Notamacropus eugenii: one gene and its partners. The protein of the gene in region 3 interacts with the protein of the main gene of each other region in a pairwise test. Links are inferred from orthologs where the notes say so. Each region holds a gene or a part of one and is shown on either strand. Other genes may lie near its edges.

Region 1 (7,639 bases), on a different chromosome or scaffold from region 3:
CTTTTTCCATTGAGCTAGTTTGGTGATTGTGACTTAATTAAATACAACCCATCCTTACTAGCTTCCTCCATCAGGGGCCACCGGCATACTCTCCAGCTCAAAAGATGGGAGCTGGTAATACTTTGGTCATTATTAGAAAGAGGAAGTAAGGTCTTCCCTTCAACCCCTTTCCCATCCATCCTCCTTGTTCCTTCTTACCTGTTGCTACCCCATTTCCCCAAACATCCGAAGGTCACACACCTACACCAGCCCTGGAAACCACAGCTGGATCCAAATCTCAGCTCCCAATGCCTGCTGCCGTAGGCAGGTCACCCCACCTTTAGGGGTTTCTGCTCATCCATCTATAAAATGTGGTGGGAGGGGCCTTGTTCATTTTGGTCTTGTTCACACAGTAGGTGCTTAGTAAGTACTTGGCTTGAAATACAGATAGTCCCTGATTTAGAAATGCGTGATTCTAAAAAAATAGGATGAGACTGGGCAACCTTTAAGGTTTCTTCCAACTCATAGTCTATGATGCTTCCAGACTGAGGTTTGTAGATAGTTCCCACTGCTGTGATAATGTCAGGACAGGGTAAGCTCTCAAACTAGATCTCATAGACTGACTACAATTCTGGGTTGTTTCAGGAAGCTGTTGGGACTGCTGACTCCTATTAATTCCCCAGGATCTAACTATGTGCTCTGCTTACCACATGGTATTAATCTGGTCATGCTTAAATCAGTTCTGTGTATATGGCTTTCCCCTCCACTTAATAGTATTTTATTTTTTTCCAGTTACATATAAAGATAGTTTTCAACATTTACATTATTTTTAATTCCAAATTTTTTCTCCCTCACTACCTTCCACCCAAATCTGAAGTAGATTATACATGTACAATCATATTAAACAATATATGTATGAAAGGGTGGGACTAGATGACACTGATGCTCTAGGGTCCTATGACGAGGCTGTGTTGTCTCCTTCCCTCTTATCCTCTCAGATTCATCCACTTTCTGGTTATGTTTTTCCCCCCTCCTTCTTTCATCAGGTTGTCTTTCATTTTTTTATAACCACTTTAGCTTATCAACACATTTAGTGCTTTGTCATACTACCTTTCTGGGTCCCCTCTGATCCTCTGAGCTCTTTGAAAGAAAGAGTATTCATGTAATTATTAATTATTACTGTGCTCTGCCTGAGACTTCCTATGCCCGTTTATCCCCTTTTTCCTCTTGGCTCCAGGCCTTCGACTCATCCTGCCCTCATCCCCCAAACAGCCTTCCCCTCGTCTCCCTAGCCAGCTCCCAGTGCGTCCTCAGCCTCCTCCAAATCCCTCTAGAACATTGGCTGCTTCTATGAAGCCTGAGTTCCAAGTGCTTCAGAAAAGAAAGTCCCACCAAGAGAGGTTTAACCATCTACCCCTACTTCAGGCTTCATGTGAATTGTGTTGTTTGGATTTGTGTTTGAACTGTGTTTGATTGCTCCAAGAACTCACAAATGAGTTAAATAACAGAGCCTGCCCTCAGGAAGAGTTAATCTCATATTGATCTTGCAACTGTATTAGTTTTGTAATGCTAAAGGGAATAAAATACATATCCTACAAAATGGCAATGGTCTAACCTTTCATTACCAAGCACCAGATGTCCACCCATCCATTTATTCAGCAACCATTTATTAAATGCTTAATGATGTGCAAAGCACTGTCCTAGGCACTAAGAAACATGTACAAATCTTCAATACTCTATATGACGTAAAGTTCAAAAACAGAATGTAATGAGAGCATAAAGGAGGGACCAAATGTTATCCTAGAAAGGAGGGATTTGAGCCAAACCTTCAAGTCTGGGGTGGAGATGAAGAAAGTCTGAGACAGCTAGAGAAGTACAGGAAGCATCAGCAAAGGTGCAAAAGGAAAATGCCGGACCATAGCCAATGTGGTCCAGTTTGACTGCCTCAATGAAGAAGCAGAAACATTGTCATTGTAAAGGGCCTTGAAACCCAGATTACTCAATAGGCCATAGGGAGCTCTGGGAGAGTGCTGAACAGAGGAGTGACATTTGTCAGATCTGTATAAGTGTAATTATCATGGGATTTGACTAGGAAGAGAATGGAGGTAGGAAAACAAATTAGGAAGTATGGCAGTAGGGTAGCCTGGTGGTAATGAAATCTTGTAGCAGGGTTATAGCAGTGGCAGTAGAAAAGAGGTGATCAATTCAAGAAGATATTAGAGGGGGAGAGTTGCCAGAACTTGGTAGTCAATTAGATGGAAATTCGAGATGGAGAAGAGGGATGGTCAAATAAAATACTGAAGTTGCCAGCATGGAGGTTAGACAGTATAGCCCAAATCCAGATGAGGAAACTGAGGAAAGGCCAGGTAACTTTCTCAAAATAGTTACCTAAATGGGATTAAAATGAAGACTGAGCTTTTCCATAATTGCTAAGCCCTGTCTTTGTCTCTCAGTCAAAAGTCTAACTGCTCTGTGACCCAGAGGGTTTCCAGTGTCTGAAAGTAACAGGGTGGCTAGATTCAGACCTGAGTTGCCAGTGGTCTGGGTGACTGGCTTAGCTGCTTAAGCATTGACTTAATCATGGATCCCTATCGGAAGATTTCTAAAATCTGATGCAAAAAAAAGCTAATTGAAGTCCTAGCTCTAGTCCCTTTCCTGAACTCCAGAGGCTGGACATATGGGCTTTCTTACTGTTCTTCCTCAGAGATGACACTCCATGTCCCTCCTGAGTGCCTTTGTTAACTGTCCCCTTTGCCTATGATGGCTTCCCTCCTTACCTCCATCTCTCAGAATCCTCTAGATTCTTCAAGACCCAGCTCAAGCACCACCTTCCTCTTGACATCCTCCAAATGCCAGTGCCTTTGCTTGAAAAAATGACCTTGTATTTATTTTGTACATACTTATACATGCATGTTGTCCTCCCCCTCTCCAACTTCCTACTTAAAGGGCTGGAACTTTTCACTTCTGTCTTTGTATGCCTGGCACACACTAGGTATTTTTTTAAATGCTTGATTGCAGAGGTTGTGGCATGATCCACAACCATGGGGGTGGGAGTACAGCATTAACCTCCTCTGTTATCCTAAACTGGCAACCCAGTAACATAGCCCTTTTGGCTATGTGAATCTGAATGACATTCAAAGGCTTTTGAAAGCAAAGAGATTCCAGAATGAGGCAAAGGTTTGGAGAAGGATGTTTTCTTTTGGGAGAACTAAAAATAGTCAAGTCGATGATGGATTACAGGATACAGCCAACAACAAAATAGAGAGATGGTACAGTGATCAAACAGGCTGGTTGCTTGGACCCAATAGCGCTTGCCCTGTTTGGCAACCTTTTTAAGGGTCCCATTCAGCCTGAAATTGGCATCGGCAGTGAAAGAGGCTTGTGGGTTTCGAACATTTGGGTGGTAGCTGAAAGTGAATCCAAGTTAAAATTCATCTCAGTAGAGACTTCTCCGACTTGTAATATATTCCCTTCCTCCACTATGGAGCATCAAGTCTCTTGTGAAAACACATACTCCCTTCTCCCTTTATCTTTCTTCCACAGACACTCTCTTTTTCCGCTTTGCTCCTTCAACCCCCAGGGAGATTTCTCCCTCCCCCAAAGCCCTTTTCTGCCATCACCCTCCCCCACCCAGTTCCTCTCTTCCTCTCTCCCTCCCTTCCCGGATTCCTCTCTGTCTCCCTCTCTTGGAGAGACCCTCTTTCTCTGCCTGCTTCCTCCTCTCCCGCTGTTTGTGAATGAGGCAGTTTCTGAATGGAGCTGCTGGAGGTTCAGGCTGATCAGGGGCAGCAGCACTGGCCGTGAGAAGGGGAGGGGGATGTCTTCTCCTTCCTTCCTCTTTTCTCTCTTTCTCCGTGGCTGCTTTTGAGGAATAAGGACTTGAGGAGGCAGAGACGGAGGTGGCGGGGTAGGGTTTGGATCCTCTCAGGACAGTTCAGATACGGAGGGGATTTGTGGGCTCAGAGTAGGAGTATTCTGGAAGGTCAGGAGGGTATTTCAGTCTGTGTCAGGGGGATTTCAAGCGCTAGGACACAGCCCGAAAAAGTTTTTATTTTTCATTGAACGTTTTTTCTTATAGAATACTTGCTTCCTCTGTTTTTTGGGGGGGGGTGGGGGGGTGTAGAGGGATGAGGCAAGAGGAGAGTTAGAGGATTCCTCATCACCCCCTCTAGTGAGCCCGGGAGAAAGGCAGGACCATGCGTGGCTGCCCAGCTCAGGCCGGGGGTGTGGGGGGAGTCGAGGGGCCGAGCAGCAGTAGGAAATAGCGAGGAAGGGGAAGGAGGGCGAGGGGGGTTCGAGGTTTAGGAAAAGGCGGGGGGAAGGAGGGAGATCTTTCCCGCCCCCCTTTACCTTTTCAAATCCGATTGTTTTTCCCCTTTGGCTCTGATTTTTGTTTTGTTTGATTTGGTTTTGCTTTTAGTTGCCCAGCCGGTGGTGCCCTTGGGGGGCGCCGGCCCAGGCACACCTGGGGCCGGGGGCGCGCAGCCACATCTGGCCGCGCCGGGGGGCGGGGGCGGGGAGGGCGCAGGAGGCGGAGGACGACCAGGGCCGGGCAGCGCCGGGCCGGGCCAGGCCAGGCCAGGCCGGGCGGGGGTTGGGCTGGCGGCCCGAGCCGCCGCCGCCGCCGCCGCCGCCGCCGCCACCGCTCTCCGCGATGGAGCCGGGGCCCGAGGCGGGGCCGGGGCCGGGGCCGGGGCCCTGGCTCGACATGGCGCCGGAGCTGACCCACGACGAGGAGCTGGTAAGAGGCCGGGCCTGCTGGGAGGTGGGTGTGTCCGCCCCGACGGGCGCGGGGGAGGGGGGAAGGGAGGGGGGGCAGCGGAGCCGGCCTCCGGTCCGCCAGTCAGCCCGTCCGAGGCCTAGGCCCGCAGCGCCCAGCGGCGCGAGAACGGGGACCGCGCCCAGCCCGGGTTGGCCCTGTGCCCCCCCGCACATCACAGAGCCCCTGCGAGCCCCCCCATCAGAACCTCCTGCGTGAACCCCATCTGGAACTCCTGTCCTTGGACCGTCACAGCGCCCCTGCTCGCTCCCCACCCCGATAAGGAGCTCCTGCGTGCCCCCCATCTGAAACTCCTGTCTTTGGACCATCACAACGCCCCTGCTCGCCCCCACTTCAGGAGCCCCTGTTTCTGGACCCCTCCCTTCTCACAGCACTCCCTGTCTCTTCCTACCCCCATCACAGAGCCCCTGCCCCTTCTCATAGGAGCTTCTGCTCTTCCAACCTCCTACAGAACTCCTGTCTCCCATTACAGAATCCCTGCCCTTAAACCCCTCCTCCCTGAGGGCAGCCCCTGTGCTCCCCTCACACCGTCACAGAGACCCTGCCCTTGGACCATCACAGCACCCCTGGACCCCTCCCTCATCACAAAAGACCCTATGCCTCCCCACCCCACCCCCAGCCTCTAGACCCCACCCCCTTTACCTCTGGCCCTGTACCCCTCCCTTATCACAACAGCCTCTGTATCTGGAACTCTCTGCTATCACAGTGACCCTGCCCTACCTTTGCGCCTTATCCCCTTTCTATTTACATCGTCCCTGCCCCAGGACCCATCCTTATAAAAAAAACACAAACCTTCCCTTATAGCGCCCCTGCTCTTGGACTTCTATCAGTGCTCCCTTGCCCCTGGAACCCATCCACATCATAGCTCCCCTGCTCCCCCATCCCAGTGACACCTGCCCTTCTCTCCTTCCTTCGAATTCACAGCTCCCATGTCTCTCAGCTCCTTCCCTTTTCCCCCTCAATGCTCCACACCTTCCCCCAAACCCCCGCCCCCTCAATTTCTTTACAGCTCCTATTACCATCCCCCCTCCCCCACTTCCAATTACTTCAGCTCCGGCTTTCATCCCCTACCTGCTTCCCACAGCATCTGTGGCTCAGCACAACACTTTGGGCTCACACCTGCTGCTTCCAGAGTTACCCTTCTATTTAGAGTGACCCTGGCCTGTCATACCTTCTAGTTACAGCCACCACCACCCCTTCACACACACACACACACACACACACACACACACACACACACACACACACACACACACACACACACACACACACACACTAAAGTGCTTGAAGTTATTAGCAGCCCTGACCTGAAGGAGGACTTGGAAGAGACAGGGACAGGCCTGCCCTGTTAAGGTCACCATCTTGGTTTGAATAGTATCATGAATGTGTGTATGCCTGACAACCAAATCTCACCATAAGCAGGTAAACCCATCGTCCTCTGAGGAAAGTCTATAACTGTGCCCTTCACTGGACATCATGATTTCACTAACTAGTTAATGGCTTAGGTACGGATTAGGCTTGTGTCCTCAAATCTAGGCCCTCCCATTATACTGTCCTAGGACATGTCCTCCCTGTTCCCTGTTCATCTGCCCCACTGATGTTTCCTCCCAACCCCCTACCAGGCTTGTCCTCTCTTACTGCCCCTCCCATTCTCATCTGACTATCCTCATCTTTCTGCCCACACTGAACTCCATTGTCCCTTAAAAGCTTGTGACCTTCAATCCAGAGAAGGAAGTGATTCTCTGTACCGTTTTGGGGGCATCAAAATGTTGTGAACTCTGCCTGCCTTTAGGGCCCTCCCTACCCCTTGTTCCCATTTCAGGGAACTTTTTGCCCCTTCCCACTGGCTCTGAGGAGGATATGAAACCAGGGCTCAACCCTGTGCCTGGCACATAGTAAGAATTTGATCAATGCTTGGTGACTGGCTACTTCCTAGAAGCTTAGAGAACATTTGGCCCTAAGCCCTGAGTACTTCTAGTCACAGCCCTGCCCAGATATAGTCCTACATCTGATTGTCTGTTAAAAATCCAAATGGAAAGAGATGAACCACGACTGAAACTCATTTCAGCACTTTAGGCCCTTCAAGGTAGGTAAGAGACTTGGAGAAAGTCTCCCAAACTAATCATTGGTGTGTAGCCTTGTTTGTGTCCTGATAAAAAAGCATCTCCATTTCCTTCCATTTATTGAGAGGACTGGTTTCATATCTGGCCTTTAGAATGTAGCTATTTCAATACTTTGAAAAAAGAGAATTCTGCCCTGTAAAATCTGTGTTAGCCTCCTCTGTAGTACTGTTCTGTTTCAGCATAAGGATAGCCAGGGCCTAGTAGAGGCCAGGCCTCCAGGGATGCCAGGATCATCAGAGGAAGTCTTCTGTAGTTTGTGGATGTTAACTTTATTAACATCAGTTAATAAATAACTGGTTTTTTCCCCTTACCTTTCCTGGATTTGAAATGTGTGTTTACTCTAAGACTTAAAAGCCAGGGAATAGAAACATTCTTGGGAAGTAGTATCAGCATTTGTTCTGGTTTTGTGTATGAGATGGATGTTAAGGTTTTATAATAACATTGGTTTGCCATTCCTGCTTATCTGAAATGTGTGACTGCAAAGTAATATGCCTGGTTTCTTAGCAACCAGCCATATGAGCCGTACTTACCTGTCTCTCTCTTTCAAAGTAAGCACCTTGGGAGGACTTAATGCTAGGAGCTGTTAAGTTGCTCAAATCATATTTGGAATTGCCTTGAAAAATCGATGTACAGTTTGTTTTTTTAGCATCCTTGACAAGGGCAGTGTAAACCATTAGACTTAGTGGGTGGGTTTGATTTTCCCAACAGCCATGACCAATGGCAGTCCAGATCAGGGAGCCCAAGCAATAGGACTAAG
Region 2 (6,969 bases), on a different chromosome or scaffold from region 3:
TGTTGCTATCTTCCATCCCAGTGAATTTATTGTTTTACTAATAACGCATGCCTAGGAAATAATAATTTAAAACTGCCAACTTGCAAGAAAAGCAACTTGGCCCAAGATGAGGAGGGTTGAGGTTAGGGGGTAGGAGGCAGGGACTATGAAAGATGAAGTAGTCTTACCACAATCTAAAGCAAGCCATTACTTTTCAGTAACGTGTCTCGGGGGATTTTTACAGTTGATATAATTCAGGCAAAACTTTAGTTTCAAGTTTCAAGTGAGAGAACATAAACTCAACTGCCTAAAAGAAATCTATCTACCTAGGAAGGTTAGCAGCTGAATCTTCCTGGCAACATTTTTGCAAAGAAAACACCAACTTTAGAAGTCGAGATGACTTCAAGAAACCTTGAATTTCCCAATAATAATTTTAAAAGGTAAATGAACTCAATCCCATTAAAAAAACATGCAGTGGCAAAGTATAAATAATCCTATAGCCTAAAAGAAAACCAGCTTCAGCACAGACTTAATGAGAAATAGTTGTAGTTTTAAACTAAGACCAAACCCCACATATTTGCACAATTATTTTTACAATAAACCTGGATCCCTTTTGGATGTTTCCCAATGTCTAATTAGTATGAATTCCATTGGACCAGACATGTTAAATCAGAAGTTCTTAAACTTTTTTGTATATGTCATGGACATCTTTGGCCATCTGGTTGAGACAAAGTATGGAGCCCTTCTCAGCATGTATTTAAACGCATAAGATGAAATACAGAGGAGTACATAGGAAATCAATCATACTTAAAACTGTTATTCAAAAATTCTACGTTCTTGGAAACAAGAGTAAAAATCTCAGGTCTAAAAGAAATCGTTAATGTTATAATGGGATAATATTTGTAAAGTGTTTAGTACAGTGCCTGGCACATAATATTTGCTTAATAAATGATTTGCTTCCTTTCCCTGTTTCCTTATGTGGGAACTTCACCCCAGTGATATATGGAATTCCCTGCTGAGAAAACACGTTAGACAATGCTGGTGGTGAGGAGAGGGGCAGAGAGGCTAAGTGACTTGCCCAGGATCACACAGGCTTGGAGACATGGCCATCCCATGTGCTCTAGATTATGAAACAACAAATTAACATTTTAGTCTAGATATGGAAACAGGAAACTGTAAGGTGCTGAAAGAAGTCAGTAACCAAAGCGAATGGACAGTAAGCAGATCTTCAACATGCTTTTATTTCAGGAATGTGAATACTTCCACCTTCTCACTTCAGGAGCTAAGAACTACATATCTAGTAATAACGTTATCATAATAACAACATTTTTATGGAACTTTAAGATTTGGAAAGCACTTTACAAACATCATTTCATTTGATGTTCATGAAATCCCTGGGAGGTAGGTGCTATTATTAGCCCCATTTTACAGATAAGGAGACTGAGGCAGAGGGTGGTTAAGTGACTTGCCCAGGGTCACACATTTAGAGCATGTCTGAGGCTATATTTGAACTCAGGTCTTCCTGTCTCAAGGTTCAAATGAAGGGAAGTAGTAATGTGTTCGTCATATGATGTCGAACAGAGGTGAACAAACATCTGTCTCCTCATATTTGAATGACTGAGTGAAGGAGCAGTGTGGCAACTGCGCCCATGAAAGTATCCACAAACTGTTTCCAAAAAGAGCCATGAGTCCTTCTTTGGGATCTGGAGGCTACCACAGTAGGGTTTTTTTTTTTCTGACTTTGAACACATAGCTTGAGTTTTCCTTCTGGCTCTGCCTCCAAGTCTCTGACCTCACTCAAATCACTGGACTCCCCTGGGAAATAAAAATAGAAACCTCCTCCAGTTATTGCAAACTGGACCAGTGACTTCACATGCCTTTGCAAATAGTCTGGCCAGTCCCTCTGGCAAGCAGCGACACAGTTACCAAGCTCGTCCACGACACTCATCCTGCCCCAACCGCGGGACATCTGCTACACCTCAGCTCCAGCTCCTAAGTTCCTTCAGTTACCTACCGAGAACTTCCCCCTCCTGATCAGTTCAAAGCTTCTAGACCCTTTCCTTTCCATTCCATTCCGGTACACAGGCCGGGATGGGGGGATGGGGGGCGGGGGGGGGGGGAGGGAGGGGCGGGAGGGATTGTCAGTCCATATCCTAGAGGCAAGTTCCCTCCCTTTGGCTGGCCTCCTTCAGATCCAGAACAGGGTGGTCCAACGCGGTGCGAACCTGTTGGCACTTCAGCTCGTACGAACTTCCTTTCGGAGCCGCACAACCAAAGAGCCTAAGGAAGGACCAAGTCCCGAACCACCTGAAGCTGCCCCCAAGTCCCGGAGGACGTGTGGGTGGTGTTTTCTTCTCCCCTTTAACTCGCCCAGAAGGATTGCCCTGGGAGGAGGGAAGATGCCTGCCTGCCTGCCCTCCTTAAACTGAGCCAGCGTGGGAGGAAGGACTCAACTTCTGCCCACTCGGGGACTTCCAGTCCTGGGTTCTAAGCACGTCTGAAACCAGAACATTAGGGACGGAGAGACCATCGAGGTATGCCCCGAGGTCTCCCAGATTTTTTTTTTTAAACGAACCCGACCCCAACACAGTCAGCTCCTGGTAAGCGAGGAGCCATCCAGGGAGAAGGTGCCGAGGAAAGAAAGGCGGCGGCGGGGCCCCGGGCTGGCCGCAGCCCGCCCCCTCCCCTCGGGCCAGGCTCCGATCCAGGACCAGTCTGAAGGTGGCCATCACACCCTCTGCCCCTCCCTGAACCCCCGTCCCCTGCCTCGAAACTCACCAAGACGAGCTCTCGGTCCTCCTCACCCCCCACCCACCGCAGTCTGGGTTCGAGGAGGCCCGCACTTACCAGCGCCTAGCGAGCCGAGCCGAGCCGTGCCGAGCCGGAGGTCTGAGCTCGCCGGGGCAGGCGAGGGGGCGGGTCTGAGAGGACCGGGGCGGGCAGCGCAGTTCGACAGGCTTCCGGCTTCTCCCCGCCTCCTGGCCCGGCTCCGGAGAGCTGCAGCCCCGTCCCGTCCTTTCCCGTCCCGTCCCGCCTAGTCTCGCTCTCCGCCCCCTTCCCTTCCCTGCCCAGCCCCTTCCTCTTGTGGCTAAAGGCTCCCTGGTCCTGCTCGTTAGCCGGTGGCTTCCCTCTGGCCGTCCTGTCCAGTTGCTGAAGAGCCCTTTAGCCTCTCCATCCTCTGATTCAGAAACTCTCGGAGTTGGAAGGAGCCTTAAAAATCGTCCAGTCCAGACCTTTTTTAGGTCATGGCCCCCTTTCCAGTCTGGTAAAGCCCTCCTCAGAATCAGAAATGCATGAAATCCATAGGATTACAAAAGAATCCAAAGGTTGGCGAAAATACAGATGTAATTTTTTTTGGCCACGTTCACTGTGCCTTAGAAATCTATCCGCGCCCCACCGCCTTAAGTCCACCGACTCCAGGTTAAGTACCTTTGATCTGGTCCAACTTTCTCATTTTACAGAGGAGGAAACTGAGGCCCAGAGAGAATTAGTCACGTTCCCAGGCTCACAGTTATTTTGGGACACAACTAGATACTAGGACTCGGGGTCACCTAACTCCCAATACATCAGATATCGCACTGCTCTTTTCTCCCTCAAATTTCCTCCCTTTTTGGTCCAGTTTTGCCTTCATTTCCTTCCCCAGTTACACTCTTCTCATCCCCTGTCTGCCCTTCCCAGATTTCAGTCTCCACCCGATTACTTCTTTCTCACACGCTTTGGTGTGGTCCTTCTACAGTCTAACTTCTCCCTGTTCGTTCTCTCAAGAGGAGCCAATGACCACTTCCCCCAGGGGAATTCACTGAGCTGATTATACGCAATCTTTCTTCTGTCCTCTTTGCCCTTTCTAGAATGACCTATTATCGTTGTTGTTCAGTGGTGTCCAACCCATCCCCAACCCCTTTGGGATTTTCTTGGCAGAGATACAGGAGTGGTTTGCCATTTCCTTCTTCAGCTTGTTTTTATAGATAAGGAAACTAAGACAGAGTTAAATGACTTGCCCAGGGTCACACAGTTAGTAAGTATCTGAAACAGGATTTGAACTCAGGTCCTCCTGACTCCAGGACGGGCACTCTATCCACTGGGACAGACCTAGCTGAACCAATGATTTATGTCTGCTCCCATTTTCCATGAATTCTGAGTCACAAATGTCAATGGAAAGCAGTAACTCAAAATCTTATCTCCACCACTAACTTTCTATGCAAAGTTCCTCCACAACTTCCTCCAATTTTCCTTTAATAAACATCAGAGAACTCCATTTTACAATTGGGGAAAGGGAAGCTAGTAGTTGTGAAATGACCTATCCAAGGTCACAGAATAAGTCAGTGACAAATCCTGGACTAGAACCCCAGTCTCATGACTCCCACTCCCAGAGTCCTTCCACCAAAATCACCATGACAACCCAACTCAGTGCAGCAAAACTAGAAGTTTTAAAAGGGGCTATATATCAGTCTGGCAAAGTTTGTGAAAAATTCATCAATAAATCTATGATCTCATCAGAATGGATTGCAACACAGCAAGTATGTTTTATCCTGTTATACTTCTCCATTTCTTTCCATAACACCTCCATAAAGAATCTACCCAACAATGCTTTTCCTCTGATGAGTTAAAAGGTGTGTGCTTATGTGTGTATGAATAAACATTGGACCTGCGATTTCATCAATATAGGGAATGTCTGGTCGTCATCTATGTGTATATATCTATATGGATAGGTACTATATCTATGATTTCATCGGTATAAGGAACTCCCAAGTGAGGAAACTCCCTCTACCAATGCAGATTGGTAACTTCTCTACAATTTATAGTCTTAGAAAATTGTCTAGACCTAAAGCACTGAGATTAAATGATTTGCCCATGGTCTCAAAGCTATACGTGTCAGAGGCAGAGCATGAACCTGGATCTTCTTCACTCCAACGCTGACCTTCTCTGCATTATACCCTGATGTCACTCATCTTCGTCTCTGTAAACTTTCAATAAGTACAGCACTTTAGCAATATATTATTACTTAGAACCAGACCATATGTTTCCTCCATGATAACTGGTTCACTGTCACCTTTCAACTGAAGGGCTCTTTGGCAGACAAAAAGAGACCATATCATTAAGCTATCCCTGAACAGAGTCCTGTACCAGTAAGTAAGAGACTTGGAGGTGGGGATAGGAAAGAAACCAAAATAGTAAAGCAAAAACCAAACTCGTTTGATTTTTTAATATGATGTAGTAAAAATATATCATATGCCTAATTTTCCATGTGTCTTAAAAATTCACTTTTTCTCACAGTTTTTCTTTATCTCCTTTCCCTTGATTCATTGAACATAACAGACATTTAACTCGAGTTTAAGCAATAATCTTTATTTTTTTCAAATGTTTAAAGTTACTAGTAGGACCTTGAGGTTACTTATTAGAATAGTTTTAAACTTATAATCTTCTTTCCTCTCTTAATTTATTTTCTTCCTTTCTTAATTTTCTTCTTTCTTTTTTCCTCTTTCCTTCCAACTTTCCCTCTTCCCTACATTTCTTCTCTCTTCCCTTCTCAATTCCTTCCTTGCTTTCTTAATTCTTTCTTCCTTCCTTTCTTTTTTGTAAAAATTCCGAGGTAAAAAACACCACTTGGATTTCCAACCAGCAGCTTCCCAGCAGGGCACAAAAAAATAATGCCACTTGTTTCATGTGCTACCCTGTTATAACCCTGCAGGAGGAAAAACATACTGACTAACTCCTAGTACACAGGAAACTGAACTCTTGCTACTGCCAAGTCTAGGGAGATTCCAGCTCTCAGTTGACTTCATAGGGGATTTGGAAGTGTATTTGCTATCCTTGGTTACATATGGTATCACATGAACCAGTCTTGAAAGTGGAGCCCTGATTTCAGCTAATTTTTTCTCCCCTCTGGGCGTACATAATCAGACTTGAGCACTATAAGTAGTTGCCAGAGCCAGCCTCTGTAAGTGAACTCTTCCTCTTCACCAAGGCAACTTAGTGGTGCATATATTTATCACTGAACAATGTTCTCTTTTTTCCAAGGCTTCTGAGATCATGCCCTGAAATGGAGATGCAATTGTTTGCCGAGAAAGACATACAAACAGAGCGCTTCTGTGCTAAGCCAGAGAGCCTTGCCTGCAAGCAGGCAATTACCTACAGCTAATTTAATTGTCTGAAGATGGTGACCCTCTGTAATCAGAACAGCAGCCCCTGCCTGGCGGGCAAAGTTAAATCTCGGGGACTTTTCCAGACTGCCTTCTGTGTTTTAGTCTTGTTTTTCATATAAAAGCATGAAAGAGCATCAGCTATGTGTATCCAGTTCTCACCATGGTTCCTGCCTTCACAAGAAGATAAACTGCTCACCCCAAAATAGGATTTAGCCTTTAGCTTGCTTCCCCAAACTTAGAATACCACTCTTCCTTTTAACAGCCAAAGGAGAAGTCATGAAAAATGAGACTGCAGAAAAAGACAACTTCCTTTGTTGTTGTCAGACTTCTCAGAAGAACTGTACACAGATGTCCCCCAGGCTTCCTGGGTCACACTTTCCAGTTCCAGAGATACACTAAGACCAAGGTAATTTGAGTTAGGAATTCAGAATTACCCTTCATGTCTGCAAACAGGTTTGCCACCATTACTTGGCTAATCTTAGCATGTCACTGTCTCCACACCCATCTCAGGGATAGATCTGACCCCAAAGATCACCCAATACTATTTGCTTGGTCTCCAAGCATGAGGTTCTAAGACTCTGAGTTCTGTTTCCATTCACTGGAATCCTTGACAGGTCTTTGACTCTCTCTGATCTCTGTACCTCTCTTTCCCACCTTGGTGTCCTCCCCTTGGTTCCTAGCAAGGACCAGTACTTTGCTAATCCTTCATCAATCAAAGGGACTTCCTTGTCTCTGTCTCCCAGGGCTTTTCTCAATCCCCATACTGCCTGCATGAATTGTTATGTTTCCTGGAATTTGAACCTGAACAATAATGTTTATCCATCAGCAAGCTATGTCCACAACACTT
Region 3 (7,989 bases):
AAGAGGAGCATGACGCCAACATGATGACGTGACTTGCAGTAGACTTTGATATGAATGAGGGAGGGCTGTGCAAGGCCACCAAACTCACTTTCTTTTCCTGAGCCATCTGGGTGCTGTGGCCAGATATTCATCAGGATGACTGGAGATAGCCCAGGATGCAATAGCCCTTTTAGGGCTAGCATTCTCACTTTGAGTGAGATACATCCCTTCAATGAACAGACTTCTTTAAGCAGTTGCTCAAGGGATGATCCCTTTAATCAAAAAAAAAAAAAAAAAGCACTGTGGCCACTTCTACTCCTTCCATTACCTTTTTTTTTTTTTTTTACCTTTTATACAATGTTATGTTTTAGTGCCAGAAAATTCCCTTCCCTCTAAATATTATCTTTTAATTTATCAGGTAGTCAAGTTGCAAGTCTTAGTATTAACAATGGAGCCTCAGTAGAGGAATAATTTTCAACCATCACTAGGGTTAAAGTAACAAAGTCTGCCAGGGCAAGGGGGAGGAGGCCCAGATTTCTCAATTACTAGCTCTGGAGCTTGAGTTCTTGCCTCTGAAGTTTACTATTAGGCAAGCTACATCCTTACCTGTGCCTCAGTTTCCTCCTCTGTGAAATTGATTTTACACTCAGTCCCTTTCAGCTCTAGCTCCATTGTTAATATCTAAATATCTAATAATCTAAAAAATGGCAATGTATAAAAGCAAAAAAAAAAAGTAGCTAACGGAAGGCATGGAAGTGGCCCCAGTTGCCAAGGGCTAGAGCTTATGGAGACAGACTCAGGAAGATGGTAGACAGCCCATGGATTTGGCAGAAGAGTCGGCAGTCCCGTTCAGCTGGAATGCAAAGTGTATAAACAAGAGTATTCACTTGGCAAAGAGGCCAGCTCCTAGCAAAACTTTTCTCCTGAGCTCCAAACTCCACCGGGGTGTCCCACAGGTACTTTAAATCCTACCTGGTCAAAACCCAGCTCCACGTATTCCTTCTCAGTCCCTCTGTCAAAGCCAGTTTCTAGCTAGGCAGCCTGGCTCCCTCCCCTCCACTCTGCTGCAGGGTAAGGCATCCTAGGTTAGGTGCAGCTTTTCTGTCAGAATTGGCTACCTAGTATCCCATTGATTTGTGAACAATTTTATCTTATCTCTCAAAATTATCGGAGGTCAGGGATTGGGTTTCCCCCCCCAGTGAGTACATGTTATCCCCCTAAGTCAGTACCTTTTAAAAATTCATTTGTTGCAAAGCAAGGGCCCAGCACAGAGCTGAATGGCTTAATAACTTGTTTACTGAGAATGAGAAAGTATAATGGTGTCGGGAGGAATCTGTGCCAGTGTTGGGGGGAGGGGGTAGCCAGGGAGGATCAGAGTACGTATGGAGAGGGCAGTACAATGGCTGAATGCTGGGGGATGGGGAGGAGACTGTGCCTGGGGGTGGGGGTGGAGTGAGAAGGCTTGAGAAGCTCCCACCTGAAGGCCAGGAGGGGTGAAGAAGGTGGCATCCATGCCCTTGGCAGAACCCAGAGCCCTAGAGAGGCTGCCCGGGTGTCCTACCTGCCCCAAATTGACAAAGCCGAACTTTCGGGCCAAGCGCTCGGCCTCCTGGCTGCCTCCAGGCAGCAGCACAGCCCAACTGCTAACATAGATGGGGACCGCTGAGAAGTGGCCCCCTCGACGCCGGCCGCGACCCCGGCCGGTCACTAGTTCTTGTCTGGGCTTCTCTGGGGAGATGGAGACTAGAACCCGGGTTAAGGCCAGGGCTAGGACCAAGGTCGGAAATAGGGTCCGAACCAACCTCAGCCGGGTCCAGCCCAGCCCCATGGTAGTCGGGGGCCGGGGGAAGCCCCTTCCACCGGACAAACAGTCTCTAGGGTCCCGGGGGGCGTTGTTTAAATGCCCCCTCCTCCCACCCCCACCCCCCGGCAAGAATGGAGTAGCCCCGACCCCTGGGAACCAGAGTGAAGCAACCCCCGATCCCTGGACGCCTCTTCTCGGCTCCATGGCAACCCCTTCCCCCCACCCCCGGGGGGGGGGGGGCTTCATTCCCAGGGGGCCATGCGACCACCTAACTGTATACGGCCGGGGATCGGGTTGGGAAACCGGCCCCCGGTGCCTTGGGGAGTGGGGGAGGACTACCGGGAGAAGGAGACACCCCAGGGGAGTGGGAACAGGATAGGACCTTCTCTCTTCTAGTTCCCTCTTCCATCCTCATTCTTAACCTGGAGAACCAGGTTCGACTTCTGATTTCATCAGTCTCGCTGTGTAACCTTGGGCCAGTCATGCCCCACTTTTGACTCTCAGTAGTCTTCTGTGTAAAGAGAAGGTTACACTAGATCAGGGTTGGGGAAACTGCGGCTTCAAGGCCACATGTGACCCTCCACGTCTTCAAGTGTGGCCCTTTAACTGAATCCAAACTTCACCGAACAAATCCCCTTAATAAAAGTAGGTTCCCCACCCTGGCACTAGATTCGATCTCTAAGTCAGAAAAGGTCTTTCCAGAGAGCATTTAATTAGTGGCAAAGAGGGTGGCCTGAGGCTAATTATGGGCTTTCTCTGATTTGAGTTGATTCAGTCATTCAGTAGCAACTGCTAGAGTTTTCTATAGTACTTTACAGTATACCCTGCAAATACTGAAATCCCCATTTTAAAGAGGAACAAAGTGTGGCACGGAGAAGGGAACTGAACTGACTTGTCCAAAGTCACACTGCTTTGCTAGTCAATCGGTTAGTCCATAAATGTGCCAGATACTGGGTGCTAAGAGCTGGCATTGTAAAGAAAGTCAAATGTTCTCCAAGGACTTACAATCTAATTGTATGGGGAAACACCACGAAGATAACTTCGTATAAACAAGCTGTATTCAGGATAAATCTGAGATAATCAACAAAGGGAAAGCACTAGAATTTAGTGCCATGGAGAAAGGCTTCCTGTAAAGGGTGGGATTTTTAGCAAGAGGCAGAGCTGGAATTTGACTGTTTCTGCTCTAATAATTTCATCTAATCATGTCCTAAGTCCTATACATTGATCTTGTCCATCTCTAGCTTCATCATGGCTCCTACCCTAATTCGGACCACTGGATGGTCCAGCTGAACTGCCCTATTTGCTTGTTAATTTCCTTGTACAATCTTTTGTTTTGATGTTTGTACTGGCTGTGCCCTCCCTCCTATCTGAGGTATTTCTACCCTCCCCCCTACCATGGAACTAGGGTTCCTCCCCTAGCCCGTAACCTTGGATTTATAATGTGTATATTTTGTATGTATTTTCATTTGTGTCTTTATGTCCCTGGCATAGTGTCTGGCACGTAGTAGATGTTATAAATTCTTCTGACTGATTGATTCATCACTTCTAGCCTAACTGATCTCCCTGTCCACCCTCCCTTCTCCAATTTATCTTATACTAAAAGCCAAGATAATCCATCTATCTAGGGTCCAAATTTGACCATATCACTCCCTTGCTAAAAATAACCTTCAGGAGGCAACTAGGTGGCTCAGTGGAGTGAGCACTGGCCCTGAAAGTCAGGAGAACCTAAGTTCAAATGCAGCCTCAGACACTTGCTAGCTGTGTGACCCTGAGCAAGTCACTTAACCCCATTGCCTAAAATAATAAATAAATAAAATTTAAAAATAACAACCCCAAACCTTCAGTGGTTCCCTATTGCCTATACGCTAACATACAAATTTCTCAGTCTCCATAATCTGCCTCCAACCTACCTTTCCAAATTCATTTTTACATTCTATCACTCCTCTTTAGGAGCTCTATATTCCAGGTAAACTGTCCTGTTGTTTTCTCAAACTCAAAGAGCTACTATCTCCCTGGACTGGCTCCAGTTCTTTCCATTCCCCACCCCCCATAACTGGAATGCATTTCCTCCCCATCTCTGCTTCTCAGAATTTTTGCCCTACTTCAATGAAGTACTAGATTTAACTTCCAAGGTAACCTTTCCACTGAATTTTATTGCCCAACAAAATAGGGCACCACTCCCTTTCTTGTATCATTTTTATAATAAAGATAAAAACAAGTATTTACTACAGAATGCTTTAAAATTGACAAGAAGCTTTGAACATATTATCTCATTTGGTTTTTCACAACAACCCTATGAGCTAGTTCTATTAGTATTCGAATTTTACAGACAAAGAAACTGAGACTGAAGGAAATTAAGTGACTTGCCCAGGGTCACACAACTTGGTAAGTGTACATGTATCTTCTATTACTTTAGAACACAAGCTCCTTGTGGGCAGGAATTGTATACTTTTTATTTGTGTGTCCCTGACCTTCAGAACTGAGCACTGTGCCATACACAGAGGCATTTAATCTTTGTTGAATGAACTAGGTCTTTAGTTTCCAAATTCAGGGTTCTTTCCACTACATCACATTGCGTTCCCAAACATTTATTGAACTCCTGCTGTGTGCAGAATACTAAGTGGAACTTCTTCATGGGATGTCAAGAGGGAGGAAAAATTTGGAATGTAAAATGGACCAGGGTGGAGGCTGGGGGGTGGGGAGAAGCATAAGACTGGTTCACCGGGGTACTTCGGCTCCAGGTGTGGGAGTAATGAGTTTGGAAGCCCAAGGATTAGTTAGGAAGGAGAGGGAGAGGGAAAGGAGAGGTGGGGAGGAGCCTAGACTGGCTGGGGTCTGGGAGTGGGAGGGACGTTAACTTACCTAGGAGACCTGGCACTTGTGGACCTTGAGGGGGCCCATAAATAAAGAACTGGGCCTTCCTGGTCTCCCCTGGGTCTCCCCTAGCCTCTCGCCTACCTGTCTCCTCCGCGTCCCAGTTCTCTCCCAGGCCCAGCCCCCTCTTTTCTCTCCCGCCTAGCTCACAGGTGGGTGGCTCGGGGCACTCGGTGCGAGGAGGGGCAGGAACGGGTTGGGAGAAAAGTCCCGCCTCCTTTGTCCGTTCCGCGTTCTCATTGGCCAGTGTGGGCAGGGTGGGCCGACCGAGGCCCCGCCTCGATTTTCCGTCCAATCCTATAGTCAGGGGGCGGATTCAGGTCGTCCCCAGCAGTTGCAGGACCACGAGGTGGGAGGGAGGGAAGGAAGGGGAGGGACCGGGGGACCGGAGGAGTGGAGGTACTGGGAGCCTGGAGAGGGAGACACCACCAGCACCGCTGCAGAGCAGCGGGGAAGCCCTGGAGGTCGCCCCTTGGACCCGGGTCCAGTCATCCTCCGTCCCCTCTCCTCCCCCCTCGGTCCCAGGAGCCATGGGTAGCTTGAAGCAGCGCTTCCAGAGGTTCCTGGAGCAGAAAAACTTTGTCACCGATGTCCTGGGCAAGCTGGAGGAAGTCACCGGGGTCAGAAAGTACTACATGGCTACAGGTAAGGACCTCCGGGCCCCCTCCTCCAGATAAAACCTTGGGCGCTCAGAGATCCTCTGGCCATAGAAACTTAGAGTTAAGAAATCGAAAAGCTGCATCTCATTCCCCATATTGTAGATGAAGAAGCCAATGCCCAGTGAGATAAGGGGAATTCCCTAGGTTGTTCAGAAAAGACCAGAACCCGAACCTCTTAGTTCCTGGTAGGGCTCTTTATGGAAATTGTTGTACTTGCTACCCTTGGTAATTCATATTCTCTGTCCTCTCTCCACCACCTTTAATTAACTGGCTTGAAATGTCATGGGTTGGGGGTTGATCTGCTATCATCCCACAGCGGCAGCTGGAAAAGTTCCAGCATCACCCCTGGATTGCAGTCCCTCCCAAGGGGGCAAGTAGGTAGGGGAAGATTCCCTCGTATTTATAGGAGTTGTAGCTTGAAGAGCCCTATTCTGGTGCTCAGGACCCCAAATCACACAACTGTAGAATAACCTTGGAACACGGAACCACAGAATTGGGAAATGATCTAGGGCCATCTAGTGTAGCTCTCTCTGTTAATGGAGGGGGAAACCAACCCTTGCCTAAAGTCACACAAAGGCCAGAAAGAATGGGGGAGGGGACAGTATAGTGCCTGAGGCTAAAGCAGCTTAGCTCGGGTAAAGGAGGACCTGAGAGGTGGGGCCAGTACTACCAATAACTAGCCTGTCTGGTCCTAATGGAGCAGATCAGCCTCCTAGGGACACTTTACTTCCAGGACTTTTAGGCAGTCAGGTCTAGTTCTCTGTTCTCAGGACCCTTCTAGGAGTTTTCCTGGGCCCATCTGGGAAACCCTGCTTGGTGGGGACGAGTATCATATCATCTTGCCCTTTGATATCCCCCAGCTCTTGGACTTTGAGAGTGCTGTGCCAGGCACATTCTGAGAGAGGCCATGTTGAAAGTCTGACTTGGGCACCCAGAGGTCTACTGAGCCTGGGTCCAGGCTCTCTCCCTTTTTGGGGCCCTCTTCGAAGGAGATCCCCAGATTATCTGTTTCTGGTCCTTCCAGTTGCTTGGTCTGCTCTGGGGCAAGGGGGAGGAGGTGGCTGGCTTCGTGGGACAGAGCACAGAATGGTTGTGCTGCCTTTGTGCAAGGCCCTGGCAGACAGCCCTAGGGGCCAAAGCCCAGCCTGGGAGGCTGGGCCAGGGAGTTCAAGTTTAATCTCTGACAACCCACCCTATGTCTCAAGGCTGATTCCAGGGGTGATTCCAGTTCATACCAACTTCGGGGAGCACTTCCAATATTCTCTCCCTCCTGGTGCTTCAGATACTTAGCATATTCCTGACACTGCTTTCAATTGAATTTGTAAAGCTCTCAGTTGAGCTTCTCTGTAAGTAGCAGAGTAGAGATGAGGCCTGGAGTAAGAAGACCTGAATTTGAATGTGACCTCAAATACTTACTGTGTGACCTTGGGCAAGTCATTTAACCTCTGTCTGCCTCAGTTCCCTCATCTGTAAAATGGAGATCTTAACAGCACCTCTCTGCCAAAGTAGTTGTGAGGATTGAAGTCGATAACATTTGTAAAATTTAGAACTATATAAATTCTAGCTACTTGTTACATGTCAGTTGATAGATTGTTAGAGCCAGAAGAGACTCCCATTCAGGGTTTTCTTGACAAAGATAGTGAAGTAGTTTGCCATTTCCTTCTCCAGCTCATTTTCCAGGTGAGGAAACAGTATTAAGGCAGGCAGACAGTATTATGTGACTTGCCCTGGGTCATACAGCTAGTAAATGTCTGAGGTCAAGTTTGAACTCAAGTCTTCCTGACTCTAGGCTCACTGTGCCACCTAGCTGCCCAAGAAGAGACCATATTAGCTTGCATTCACTTACCTCTCTGTACAGGTTTCTTCCTCTAGTAGGATGTAAGTTCTTAGAGGGCAGGTTGTTGAATTAAATGGAATATGCCTTCTCCTCCCCATCTCCCCAGTTTTCAGAGGAGAAAACTGAGACCCAGGAAAGTGAAATATCTTGTTCATGATTACCCAGCTCCCTCAGATGATGATGATCAAGGTATAGTGGCTAGAGCACTGCACTTGCAATCAGGAAGACCCGGCTGCAGTTGCTGGCTCTGCTAGTTGTTAGTAGAGGTCAGCTGTGGTCAGCTCACCTCTCCGAGAGTCTTTTTCTATAAAATGGGGGTAATAACTGCACCCACTTTACTGAGTTGTAGGGCTCAAATGAGATATAACAAGTAAGTAAAGGCACTTGGAAACCTTGTTCAATATAGAAAGGTTTTTAAAGTGCTTTATTATACTTACTATTTCCTATTCAAACTTTAACCTGCAGTGAGGCAGATAGTATTATTATCATCCCCATTTTACAGATGAGGAAACTGAAACTCAGACTGTGGTCACCCAGTTAGCAAGTGGCAGAGGGGGCATTCGAACACAGATCTTATTCGCTCCAAGCCCTACCGCTCCTCAGTACCCCAAAATACTGAGGTCAACTTAACTCCCCTTAGAGATGAGAAAACTGGAGCCCACAGAGCAGAGGTGATTTGTGCAAGGTCCTACCCTCAGTCAGCAGGACAATTGTGCAGAATTCTCATTATCTCATTCCCCACAGAAGCTGTTTGAAATTATGTCTTTCTTCAAGCCTCCTAAACTCTCCCCTCCCCAACCTCTTAGCTGAAGATCTTTTCTTCTCTTTATTTCACC

What was found.
Region 1: the proteins of REEP6 (region 3) and PTPN9 interact in binary tests that used the Homo sapiens proteins (3 or more experiments, as listed by UniProt). The two-hybrid records come from large-scale screens. The link is inferred for Notamacropus eugenii from reciprocal best matches to the Homo sapiens genes REEP6 and PTPN9.
Region 2: the proteins of REEP6 (region 3) and LITAF interact in binary tests that used the Homo sapiens proteins (3 or more experiments, as listed by UniProt). The two-hybrid records come from large-scale screens. The link is inferred for Notamacropus eugenii from reciprocal best matches to the Homo sapiens genes REEP6 and LITAF.

The regions. Positions count from the first base shown.
Region 1 is NC_092872.1:240,285,425-240,293,063, forward strand, and holds the start of PTPN9 (tyrosine-protein phosphatase non-receptor type 9), read left to right. Parts: upstream 1-4,576; 5' UTR 4,577-4,633; coding exon 4,634-4,720; intron 4,721-6,056; exon of another isoform or gene 6,057-6,142; coding exon of another isoform or gene 6,143-6,181; intron 6,182-6,461; exon of another isoform or gene 6,462-6,845; intron 6,846-7,639. UniProt on the Homo sapiens protein: Protein-tyrosine phosphatase that could participate in the transfer of hydrophobic ligands or in functions of the Golgi apparatus.
Region 2 is NC_092872.1:91,387,485-91,394,453, forward strand, and holds the start of LITAF (lipopolysaccharide-induced tumor necrosis factor-alpha factor), read right to left. Parts: upstream 3,022-6,969; 5' UTR 2,827-3,021; intron 1-2,826.
Region 3 is NC_092875.1:62,873,733-62,881,721, forward strand, and holds the start of REEP6 (receptor expression-enhancing protein 6), read left to right. Parts: upstream 1-4,943; 5' UTR 4,944-5,187; coding exon 5,188-5,302; intron 5,303-7,989. Other genes in the region: PCSK4 (proprotein convertase subtilisin/kexin type 4), read right to left, coding at 1,541-2,029. UniProt on the Homo sapiens protein: Required for correct function and survival of retinal photoreceptors. Required for retinal development.